Linked DNA regions of Tribolium castaneum. The protein of the gene in region 2 interacts with the protein of the main gene of each other region in a pairwise test. Links are inferred from orthologs where the notes say so. Each region holds a gene or a part of one and is shown on either strand. Other genes may lie near its edges. The genes, in order: alphaCOP, beta'COP and betaCOP.

What was found.
Region 1: the proteins of beta'COP (region 2) and alphaCOP interact in a two-hybrid assay, tested with the Homo sapiens proteins (2 studies listed by BioGRID, with this or other methods). The link is inferred for Tribolium castaneum from reciprocal best matches to the Homo sapiens genes COPB2 and COPA.
Region 3: the proteins of beta'COP (region 2) and betaCOP interact in a two-hybrid assay, tested with the Homo sapiens proteins (2 studies listed by BioGRID, with this or other methods). The link is inferred for Tribolium castaneum from reciprocal best matches to the Homo sapiens genes COPB2 and COPB1.

Annotation. Positions count from the first base shown.
Region 1 is NC_087403.1:711,398-715,049, reverse strand, and holds part of alphaCOP (coatomer subunit alpha), read left to right. Parts: intron 1-678; coding exon 679-826; intron 827-880; coding exon 881-1,148; intron 1,149-1,203; coding exon 1,204-2,172; intron 2,173-2,222; coding exon 2,223-2,433; intron 2,434-2,491; coding exon 2,492-3,652. UniProt on the Homo sapiens protein: The coatomer is a cytosolic protein complex that binds to dilysine motifs and reversibly associates with Golgi non-clathrin-coated vesicles, which further mediate biosynthetic protein transport from the ER, via the Golgi up to the trans Golgi network.
Region 2 is NC_087398.1:12,745,687-12,750,110, forward strand, and holds the start of beta'COP (coatomer subunit beta'), read left to right. Parts: upstream 1-1,554; 5' UTR 1,555-1,711; coding exon 1,712-1,714; intron 1,715-1,766; coding exon 1,767-2,118; intron 2,119-4,424. Other genes in the region: histone deacetylase complex subunit SAP130, read right to left, coding at 457-695, 746-974. UniProt on the Homo sapiens protein: The coatomer is a cytosolic protein complex that binds to dilysine motifs and reversibly associates with Golgi non-clathrin-coated vesicles, which further mediate biosynthetic protein transport from the ER, via the Golgi up to the trans Golgi network.
Region 3 is NC_087397.1:6,599,298-6,603,435, forward strand, and holds the start of betaCOP (coatomer subunit beta), read left to right. Parts: upstream 1-1,226; 5' UTR 1,227-1,363; intron 1,364-1,478; 5' UTR 1,479-1,491; coding exon 1,492-1,582; intron 1,583-1,627; coding exon 1,628-2,856; intron 2,857-4,138. Other genes in the region: uncharacterized protein LOC664374, read left to right, coding at 1-258. UniProt on the Homo sapiens protein: The coatomer is a cytosolic protein complex that binds to dilysine motifs and reversibly associates with Golgi non-clathrin-coated vesicles, which further mediate biosynthetic protein transport from the ER, via the Golgi up to the trans Golgi network.

The DNA.
Region 1 (3,652 bases), on a different chromosome or scaffold from region 2:
TAATCATGTATAATTGTAGTAATTTAGAGTTTTATATAAACAAAAAACCCGATTTTTACAAAAACTTTTTTTTAGCTTGAGTCTAACCTTGTGTAAAAAACATTCGAGGTGTCACTGATATTGTCCAAAATAATTAATTTGTTTTAATTGAGTGTTACGTTTATGCCTACTTATGAATTTCCGTTACTCATGCGTTACATTGTTTCATAAAAATAATATTTCAAATTATTCATAAAGTTGTTAGGACAACTGATATTTCCTATCTAGCGATCAAACTTTATTCGTAACAGTTTTTTAGTTTTTAAAATCGTTGCTAATTTTATAGTAAAAGAAGGTGAGCAAGCGGTTATTATTCTTTATTGTTTTTCCGATAAGTGGCTCAAGTAACAGAATTTTTGGAAATCGATGAAGTACAGTATGAAGAAAGAGAAGAAAGTGACCTTTCCTTCTGTAGATCATAGGACAACACGAGATGGCCAACGCCCAGACCACATCTCTAATACCAGATTTATTTGGCAATTTACTATTTAGATAATGAAACAATAATGATCTACATTTTACATATCCTCTTGCTCCATAAATCATCACATTACTAAATTCGACCTTTTACGATTTACCCACAATTAAATATTTTGCAACGTTTAATAAATTGTTTTTTTTTTCTTTTTTCTAATTCAGCTTGCATAATGGATCCATTCAACTTTGGGATTACCGTATGTGTACTTTACTTGAAAAATTCGACGAACACGATGGACCTGTCCGAGGCATTTGTTTTCATAATCAGCAGCCATTGTTCGTCTCTGGTGGTGACGATTATAAAATCAAAGTATTCGTTTGATTTAATATCAAATTCCAATTCACAACTAACGATACTGTTTAGGTGTGGAATTACAAACAAAAACGATGCATTTTCACCCTTCTCGGTCACCTCGATTACATTCGTACTACAATGTTCCATCATGAGTACCCTTGGATTGTCTCGGCTTCCGACGATCAAACAATTCGCATATGGAATTGGCAAAGTCGGACTTGCATTTGCGTCCTCACCGGACACAATCACTACGTCATGTGTGCGCAATTCCACCCTTCTGAAGACCTACTTGTTTCCGCTTCTCTCGACTCGACTGTCCGCGTTTGGGACATTTCTGGTAGATTTTATCATGTGATAGCGTTCTATAACGCGTTCTATAATTTTGTTTTAAGGATTGCGGAAAAAGAATGTTGCTCCTGGACCCGGAGGTTTGGAGGACCATTTAAAAAATCCCGGTAGTACCGACTTGTTTGGGCAAGCTGATGCCGTTGTCAAACATGTCCTCGAAGGGCATGATCGCGGAGTAAATTGGGCATGTTTCCACCCTACTTTACCACTCATTGTTTCCGGGGCTGATGACCGCCAAATTAAATTATGGAGAATGAATGATTCCAAAGCTTGGGAGGTTGATACATGCCGTGGCCATTACAATAACGTTTCGTGCGTTTTATTCCATCCTCGTCAGGAACTTCTTCTGTCAAACAGTGAGGATAAAAGCATCCGGATTTGGGATATGGCCAAGCGCAACTATTTGCATACATTCCGAAGGGAACATGACCGGTTCTGGGTATTGACAGCTCATCCCAATTTAAATTTATTTGCGGCCGGTCATGATACAGGCATGATCATTTTCAAACTAGAGCGTGAAAGACCGGCATACACCGTACATAGAAACTTCCTCTACTACGTTAAAGACCGCCATTTACGCAAACTTGATTTCAATACGTCGAAAGACGTTCCTGTACTTCAGATTAGAGGTGGCGGCAAGACTCCTGTTTTTAGAATGTCATTCAACCCGGCCGAAAATGCCGTCTTGTTATCAATACGGTCTTCGAATTTGGATAACAGCACTTACGACTTGTATACGATCGCGAAAGAGTCGGACCGTGATGATCAAGTCCCGGAAGCCGAAAGCAAAAGATCATCAGGATTGACAGCGATTTGGGTCGCCCGAAATCGGTTTGCCGTCTTGGACAGGTCACATCAACTTGTCATCAAAAATTTGAAAAATGAGGTCCACAAAAAGGTGCAAACGCCACCGTGTGATGAGATTTTTTATGCTGGGACTGGAATGCTACTACTGAGAGATCCGGAACATCTGACTTTGTTTGATGTTCAAAGGAAACGGACTCAAGATCAAGGTATTAGTCATCTATCGTAACTGTCGTTTAGTCTATTGTGATTATTTCAGTTAAAATCAACAAATGCCGCTATGTTGTTTGGTCTCACGATATGAATTTCATCGCACTATTGGCTAAACATACAGTTACTATTTGTAACCGAAAGTTGGAAGTATTGTGCTCCCTGCACGAAAATACAAGAGTCAAGTCAGGGGCTTGGGATGATTCGGGTGTTTTTATTTACACCACTAGCAATCATATTAAATACACTTTGATCCATGGGTAATTTTTTTCTATAAAAAAATTTTAATGTAAAATTAAATTCTGCTGTTTTACTTAGGGACCATGGGATCATTCGTACTCTCGACTTGCCTATTTACATCACTCGAGTTAAAGGAAAGCATGTTTTTTGCTTGGACCGTGAATGCAAGCCTCGTGTCCTAACAATTGATCCAACAGAATACAAGTTTAAATTATCACTGATTCACCACCGCTACGACGAAGTCTTATTCATGGTCAAAAACTCGCGTTTGGTTGGTCAAGCAATAATTTCGTATTTGCAACAAAAGGGTTACCCTGAAGTGGCCTTGCACTTTGTCAAAGATGACAAAACTCGTTTCACTTTAGCTCTTGAATGCGGTAACATTGAGATAGCACTAGACGCGGCTAAAGCTTTAAACGATAAACTTTGCTGGGAGCAGTTGGCACAAACCGCTTTGTGGCACGGTAACCACCAAGTGGTTGAAATGTGCTATCAACGAACCAAGAGCTTTGAGAAATTGTCATTTCTTTATTTGATCACCGGAAATTTGGAAAAGTTGCGCAAAATGACGAAAATTGCTGAGATTCGCAAAGCGCGCTCTTCGCAGTATCATGGCGCTTTGTTACTTGGTGATGTTGAGGAAAGAATAAGAGTTTTGAAGCAGTCAAACCTGACGTCTTTAGCGTATTTAACTGCTGCAACTCACGGCTACGAGGAAGAAGCTGAAGAGTTAAAAATTTTGATCGGAAATGAGAAAAAAGTGCCCGATGTGGACCCCAATGCAAAATTCTTCATTCCTCCACCTCCAATTCAACAAGCTGAGAGTAATTGGCCGCTGTTGACAGTCAGTCGTAGCTTCTTCGAGACTAACGCAATGGTCCAAGCCAGTTCGAATATAAAAAGTTTGATGGTTGAACCTTCCACTGAGGCTTTGGATGAGGAGGTCGGTGGTTGGGGTGACGACGATGAGGAGATTGACGTGGACAACGAACGTAAGTCTGACGATGCGGCTCCAGCCGATGGTGAAGGTGGTTGGGATGTTGAAGACGCCGATTTGGAAATTCCTGATTTGGGGCCGTCGCAAACGCAACAGTCAGCTGAAAGTTTCGTTCATTTGCCTACTCAAGGGCCTAACCCGACACTTGCATGGACGAAAAATTCACAACTTGCGGCCGATCATGTCATGGCTGGATCATTTGAATCGGCTTGTCGGCTGCTTCATGACCAATTAGGAATTGT
Region 2 (4,424 bases):
ACGTGCACCTCAAAATGGCCAAAAATGTTACTTATCCCTTTCTGGAATGAACGATACATTTAGATTAATTTCTTCTTTTAATGTTCACTTCCAAGAATATGAACGAGTAAAAAGGTAAGTAATTAACTGTGGTTATATTGTATTTTTATGTAGTAGAAGTGGACAAAAGTGTGGAACCAAGCGTTTTGTGTCTAAACTATGCACCATACGATAAAAGTGGTTACTACATCATTAACTGCTTTAAAAATGTGATCATTTTTCAATAACATTTTTTTCAAAATTCCTTTAGGTTTTTGAGTTTTTCAAAACAATAAATAAAAAGCTTCATTTTTTGCCAAAAAAATCGCCGTAGTAGGGAAGCATTTGATATAATAGCTCTAAAACTAAAAAAAACTTCGAAAAAATGTAAAAAGACGTCAAAAAGTTTTCACAATAAAAAATATAGTAATTATTCACCTGGCCGCCTGTTTGCGCCGTGACCACCATGGGGGCGCGCACCGACGCCACGTTGCTGCGAGGGGCCGCCAAATTCGCCACGACTGCGGGCCCCCGTGGGACATGGTAATTAGTACCACATGGTACCACCGGAGTTGTCGAAAGGGTGATTTGGGTGGGTCTTTGAATAGTGATGTTAGCAGCACTCGATTGCGGCTGACTCGTCGTCAAAATACTCGCAATTTGAGTCCTTGCAGCATCTAAAAAACAAACACAGTCACACAAATCACATGGCTTCGGACACACCAACCTGGCTTAAACACGGTGGGGACAATATTAGTTGTGATTATTGTTTGGGCGTTGGAAGAAGCCTGGCCCGAGTTTGGTGGCGTTCCCTGAGTCAGGACACGCACTCCACGCAAGCCTTGATTCGTCATCAACAAGGGGGCTTTCCCTTCCACTGTCCGAACGGTGGTTATTTGGGTCCTGGCCAAATCCAGAGGCAAGGACTTGTGGGACTCCTTGCCCTCGTCACTCATATTTCGCAGGTTTTAAATTTACCCATAAAAAACTTTATTTGTTACGTTAAACGCATCTGCATTAAAACTGAACAGAGGGTAATTAGGAGGTTTTGCAAAGTGTAAAAATGAAACCTTGGCAGCTTTTTGGCAATTTTTCGGAACAAAATAACATGGTTTTTTGGTTAAACTTAAGACTAAGGTTTGCACTTAAAAAATCTACAATAATAGACTACAACAACACCACAAAACGCAAATTCCGAACTGACGCCATTGCTCGCGCTGTCAAAGGAACGTCGCCCCATTGCCTCAAATACGCATTTGGGACAACAATCACCACATCAAATCTAAAATAACGTTAATTAACGTAAATTAAAATGCAGAATTTTGGCACAGCTAGACGTCGTTAGTACCAATAAAAATGCCCGTGTTTAAGTAGTTTTGTATTGTAATAAATTAAATTATAACTAATGAGATAGGGCACAATTTTGTCAAAAATAATTATTTAATTATTTTATAATTATTTCTATAGGTTAATAAACCATTGTTAAATAAAACAAATTGCTTTTTTTGTTGTAGTAATTTAAACTAATTTGTTAGACGGGTTTTCGCAGTTTTTGGACAAATCCACCTCGCCAAACGTCAACGTCAAGCCAAGTTGTCGGGCCACGTATTTTGGTTGTTTTTTAAATGGCAAGTCGTGTTTTCTATCAAACCCCTCAATAGAAAAGTAAATTGTTGATATCTACACCTTTACCATGGTAAGAGGGTTGCGTTTGGTGTCCCCGCTTTTGGTTAACCTAAATTTTATAGCCCCTCCGTCTGGACATCAAACGCAAACTTACGGCGCGTTCCGACCGTGTAAAATGCGTCGACTTGCACCCGACCGAGCCCTGGATGCTCTGCTCGCTATACAGCGGCAATATAAACGTCTGGAATCACGAAAATCAACAACTAGTCAAAACCTTTGAAGTTTGTGATTTACCAGTACGTGCCGCAAAATTCGTACCCCGCAAGAACTGGGTGATTGCCGGCTCGGACGACATGCAAATTCGTGTTTTTAACTATAATACACTGGATCGTGTACATGCTTTTGAGGCCCATTCGGATTATGTGCGGTGTATTGTGATCCACCCCACACAGCCTTACATCCTCACAGGGAGCGGTGAGTTTTTAGTAACACCAAAGCCAGTGGATATGCTCAAGCAGCGTTAGAGACCTTGACAGGTCACAAGTAAAGATTGGACACTCCAGAGAGGACTTATACCACATTACTTACGTGAAAGGCTCACCCTTAAAAAGGCTTATTAAGTGCATTTTTGTCCAAATTTTACGCTTAATTGTAAAGAAATAAAATTGTTAAAGGGTATGCTCAAAAGAGGTGTTTATTAAAGCTCACGTCATGTGTTAGATTTGTATAGAAAATGTATATAAACAGGCACTTTACTTTTGTAAGGCCCGACATTTTCTGAAATCACGCTGCAATTTTGAACATTCGTCAAAAGTCTCAAGACTGTCTCACCTTTGAGAAATTGGTAAAGAACAGAGTAATTTTGGTGTTAATCTGTAGTTTCACTCTGGTTATTGCTTTTTATATGAACAGATTCCATGGAATCTTCAAACTTATGCTTCAATCACGTAAATAATAAATCAACACCAAAAACATTAAAGAAAATCGTCCACATTATGAAGCATTTTGTGTGAGAATACTGGAAACTCATTCAAACAAGAATTGTTTCGGAAACATAAAGTGTTAGGTATTGACTTGAATGAGAAATTTCTGAGATACCAAATTTTTATTATGTATTTTAGCTGGATTTAAATAATAGTTCTTTGAAAATTCATTCTAAATTATTAGATTCCGCCCTAATGGGAAATAATTTAAGACTGCTCTGCTTACATTGATCTACGTTTCACAATATTTGAAGCATCTAAGTATGGAAATTATTAAACATACTCATGATATTGTTGAGACCATAAGTTTTTATAGCCACTTGCATCAACAATATTATTAAAAATTTAAATTATAAAGAACAATTTGGGTTGTATGATTTGTTAGGTAATATCGAAGTATAAACTGCACCCCAAATTTTGTACACCAGATTTACTCAAGATTTTCTCTGATTTAATAATGATTTTCCCTGGTTTCTTCAATTTTGTACATTGATTTTCTCTGCGGATTACCTCTAGTTCTCTTTGAAAATTATTTCTCATCAACACTAAGTGTTAAAGAGAAAATAAAATACTTTTGGCCATGTAGTGGACACTTGGGAGTAAAGAATGAATTGTTGATGGGAAATTTTTTTCTTAGAGTTCTAGATTAGATTTTATTAGATTTTTTTTTCAGTTTTCAAAATTATTTTCTGAATTAATAAAGCAGTTGCCGTATTTTAAAAGACTCTCTAAAAGATCTTAGACTATCATCATACAATCCTCTCAATCGCCACAAACCTGACAGATATTTGAACATTTTTCACCCATTTTCCAGAAAATCAACCAACAATTACGACTAATTCCTCTTCTAAATTTTGGCGTGAACTTCGCGAAAACATCTGAGAATTTTTGTCATGTTTTGATAAACTTAGTCATTGTCACTTCCCAGTAAACATTTTTTAGGTCATAAACATTACTGAAATCAATGTTTTGTTAAATGAAACATTTGACCTTTGAGCATAGTTTGTTAATGAAACGTCTGGGAAACAACAAATATTTTCTTCTTGATATGATTCACTAGAAACATTTCATTGAAATTTCTATGGTATATTTCACTCACTTTCAGGATGGTATAAGAAACATTTAAACAATATCATGTTGTAGAACTAAAATATATTATTTATATAAAAAACAGAAACAAATATAATTTCAACAAAACAAAATATATAAAAAATTCATTGTGACAAATATTTTTTCTTTATGAATTGTTGTCGTGCCTGCACATAATGATTTCGAATGAGGTGGTTGTATTTTGATAATTCCGCATGTTTTACATGTTATAGGCGATTATTGTGATATTGTTATATCACTTCGGTCTCATTATTATTGTTACGTGATTCCAAGTTTTTAAAAATAGCGATTATTGTAGTTATTGTAGACTAAAAAAAAGATTTATGTAAATCATCTAACAATACATGTTTCGTGTTTATTGGGTGAACAGTCAAAAACCATTTGATCTAAATATTGGACCAAATGCTTGATAAGCGGTTATGACGTCATAATTTCAGCCTTAAATCGAAATAACTTGAGTTAGAGAGCAGATACAGAGGAACGGTTTTCACTGTTGTAATAAGTGCTTTCAGTACTATTATTTATAATAAAGTTGTTTTTTAACTTGCCAATGTCTTTTTTGCTGAAAACAATGAATATTCAGTTTGATATACAAAGAACATAATTATTTTTCTTTTAACGGCACATCTTCTAAATTTAAATTCTTGATATTTTTAATTCATATTCTACATTCTACGATCAATTTTT
Region 3 (4,138 bases), on a different chromosome or scaffold from region 2:
AGGATGGGGATGTTCAGTCGGCGGTGGACCGAAGTGGAGTTGGAGGAGGAGGATGAGGAGGAGAGCAAGGAGAGCAGTGCGAGCAGTCCGGGAGAGAGTGTTCCCTTTAGGGAGAGGGCCTCCACGGATGGGCACCTGCAGCAGAGGCCCTGGAGGTGGAGGTATCCGCCCATTGGGACGGGAGGGTCGCAGGATCTGAGTGTCAGGGCTGAGAGGAGGATGAGTATTTCGATGAGAGGGAATAATGCCAGTTATTGAAATGATTCAGTTTTGGATAATTTGACTAAGACTGAGATGAGAGTCTTAGAGGAAACACGCTCGTTTTGCAAACGGAGACAATAAAACACGAGTTTGGGACGAAGTTGTACGGCTTTATCAATTAACCAATGACCACATTTGCTGTGATTTCATGTTTCGTCGTAACATAATCAAAAGATGTATATTTAAATATGTATTTATTCTGTATTAATGTTTTATGGATTTTTATCCAGTATTCATTCCATTGTGATGTTTAAGGTGTTATAATAAAAATACAAAAATAAATTGTGTTTTATTTTATTCTCAAGTTTTTTATTACCCATTTTAATCTCAAAATTCTTTATTTATGTGTTTCTGATTAAAATAAATCAATAGTATATTACGTTGTTAGGAGTAAAAGTCATAAAATCTCACACTCACACTTCGAATAACATCCCTATACCTATTTATAACCCGGATCAGATGTGACTTGTTTCATTGAAAAAATTGTACAAAAGGCAAGTGAAACAACACGTAAACAAAAATAAGAGAATAAAAAAACACATAGACGTATAAACATAAAGCGGAGCATAAAACTGACAGAAATAAAAAAATAATGCGGCAAAAGCTAAAAGTACGTAAAGGCGCCAAATTGTAAACGTAATAATAAAAAAATTCAAACATTTTTTCTGTTTTTTTTAACTCCTTATTACTCGCGGACCATCCTGTATAGCCACAAAAATGGTCAGTTTTGTGACTTTTACCGATAAATTAATTATAATAGGTAATACTAAATGTAAAATGGTGGATGCGCCGGGTTAATTATTTATTATTTTAAATAATATTGACGATAATAGTTAGAAATATTGTCGTTAATATATCCAAAGTTATAATCCTCCAAAATCGCTATTAATAAAATGCATGCAAAATCAAGATAAGTAAAATTGTTTTACAACAACAACTCCATAAAGAATTTGTATTACTGGTTACATAACACGCGCGTACAATAGGTTGCTTACCGGTTCTGTCAAGTGTCAAAATAGGTTGACACGTCGTTGACATTTAATTCCAAAATATTAACATTACGTGTTTTGTGTTAAATAAGTGTTTTTTCTCAGTTAAAGTGGTATGAAAAACCTGTTCTCACACGATAATACAGTTTCGCATTTCTTTTCACGTTAACACTTTTGTTGGTATCTTTCTACGCCCTAACCCTAACTCGTGTCCCTTCCCACTTCCAGGTAAATCTCCACAATGACTGCAGTCGAACAGCCCTGTTACACCCTCATAAACGTCCCCACCGACACAGAACCCTACAATGAGATGCAACTTAAGATAGACCTAGGTAGGTAACCCCCAAGCGCTATCCTCTCTTATCGCCCGTTTCTAGAAAAGGGCGACGTCAAACAAAAAGTCGAAGCTTTGAAAAAGACCATTCACATGATCCTGGCCGGCGAGCGCCTGCCCCCGGGCCTCCTCATGACCATAATCCGCTACGTCCTCCCTTTGCAAGACCACACCGCCAAAAAACTACTCCTCATCTTCTGGGAGATCGTCCCTAAGACCTCCCCCGACGGCAAACTCCTCCAGGAAATGATCCTCGTCTGCGACGCCTACCGCAAGGATTTGCAACACCCGAACGAATTTCTCAGGGGCTCAACTTTGCGCTTCTTGTGCAAATTGAAAGAGCCCGAGCTTTTGGAGCCCCTGATGCCCTCGATCCGGGCCTGTCTGGAGCACAGACACTCCTACGTGCGGCGCAATGCCGTCCTTGCGATTTTCACAATTTACCGAAATTTCGAATTTTTGATCCCGGACGCTCCAGAGTTGATTTCGAATTACTTGGACGGGGAGCAAGACATGTCGTGTAAGCGGAACGCTTTCCTCATGCTGCTCCACGCAGATCAGGAGCGCGCCTTGAGCTATTTGGCCTCGTGCTTGGACCAAGTGACCTCCTTCGGGGACATCCTCCAGTTGGTTATTGTCGAATTGATTTACAAAGTTTGCCACAGCAATCCGTCTGAACGGTCCAGGTTCATCCGCTGTATTTACAATTTGCTCAATTCGAGCAGCCCCGCTGTGCGGTATGAGGCTGCGGGGACTTTGGTCACGCTCTCCACAGCCCCCACGGCGATTAAAGCGGCCGCCAGTTGCTACATTGAGCTCATAATCAAGGAAAGCGACAACAATGTCAAGCTCATTGTTTTGGACCGTCTGATCGCTCTCAAAGACCACCCAACTCACGAAAGGGTTCTTCAAGACTTGGTTATGGATATTTTGAGGGTTTTGTCGAGTCCTGATTTGGAGGTGCGCAAAAAGACTCTTAATCTGGCGATGGATTTGGTTTCGTCGCGAAATATCGAAGAAATGGTCTTGGTTTTGAAGAAAGAAGTTGCGAAAACGCACGATGTTGAGCATGAAGATACCGGAAAATATAGACAGTTGCTAGTCCGGACTTTGCATTCTTGTTGTATTCGATTTCCGGATGTTGCAGCAACTGTTATTCCAGTTTTGGTCGAATTCTTATCTGATACAAATGAGCTTGCAGCCGTTGATGTTCTGATCTTCGTCAGAGAGGCGATTCAGAAATTCGATAATTTGCAGCCGCTCATCATTGAGGTAAGAAAATTCTTTGAAAATTTGAAAAATTGGACGTTTGACGTAAGTCAACTCTCGATTAAGAACGGTTGTTTGGGTTATTTCATGGTTATTTGATTAGATTATTTGTAAGATCTCAATTGTCGGTAATCAAACGTTTTGCTATGCATTTCGTTTGATTATTAATTTTGTTTTATTATTATCTGAATGTGTTTAATCATTGGAGCGTCAAATATCGAAAATGACGCACACTTGATTAATGATTACGCATTTATTTCTATATAAACTGCAAGAAATAATCGAATTTAAATTTTTCTTTTCCGTATAATCATTGATTTGAGTTCTGTCGTGACATAAATCAAGTCACAATTTTTTAAAAAAGAAAAAATACGAACAATATTACTAGTGCGTCCATATTTTATGAATGAAAATCATGAAAAGGTCATCTAATTAAAATATCTGGGTCACATTTCGGTCGATTTTTTTTATGAAAGATGATGCTTTCGTCTTACGTCATTTCCAATGCGATGAGTAGAAGCAAAAAAATTATTAATTAACGTAAGTATTAATACGCATTGTGATTGGCCTGTTTGAGAAAACAACCACTTTGGATTTTTGGACTCATTCCAATTTAGAGCAATTGGTGAACTTCGACTTGGTTGATTTACTTATTATAATAAACATGATTTTTTTCTGATATTTAATACGTGTCTCTTATGTACTTCATCACGTTAGGTTTCTGAAAAAATTATTAAATATTGTTATAAAGCTTTATTAAATTTCACTGTATCTGAGCGTTTTATTACTACGAGTAAAAAAGAAAAGTCATATTATATGACATATTCAAACATGTATAAGAAGCTGGTTAAATCAAAAAAGCATTGCTATGCCGAAAAACATTGTTAATAAAAATTATGGCCACTGCGACACAAAATGACAGCAAACAATCGGTATTATTTACTTCACCTTACGCTCATATTCTTGTGAAAAACGCCGAAAAAATGAGAAAACTTTGCTTCCTTATACCTTTTTCCATATTTTTATCTTTGACGGTTTACTTTTAAATTTTAATTGTGAGACCAAAATTTTGTGATATGGTGAAAATTATCCCAGCGACAGTTTGGGGCCAAGATATAATTAATTAAATTAATTTTAATAAATTTAATTATTTAATGAAGAAAGATTTTAGTTTCGTTGCCCTTAGAATGTTAACGCAACGTCTCTTTAAAATTGAACTATTTTGCGTTTCTTGGTTTATGGGAGCAAAAACTATTGGTAAAACAATCCACAATCACGTAATAAG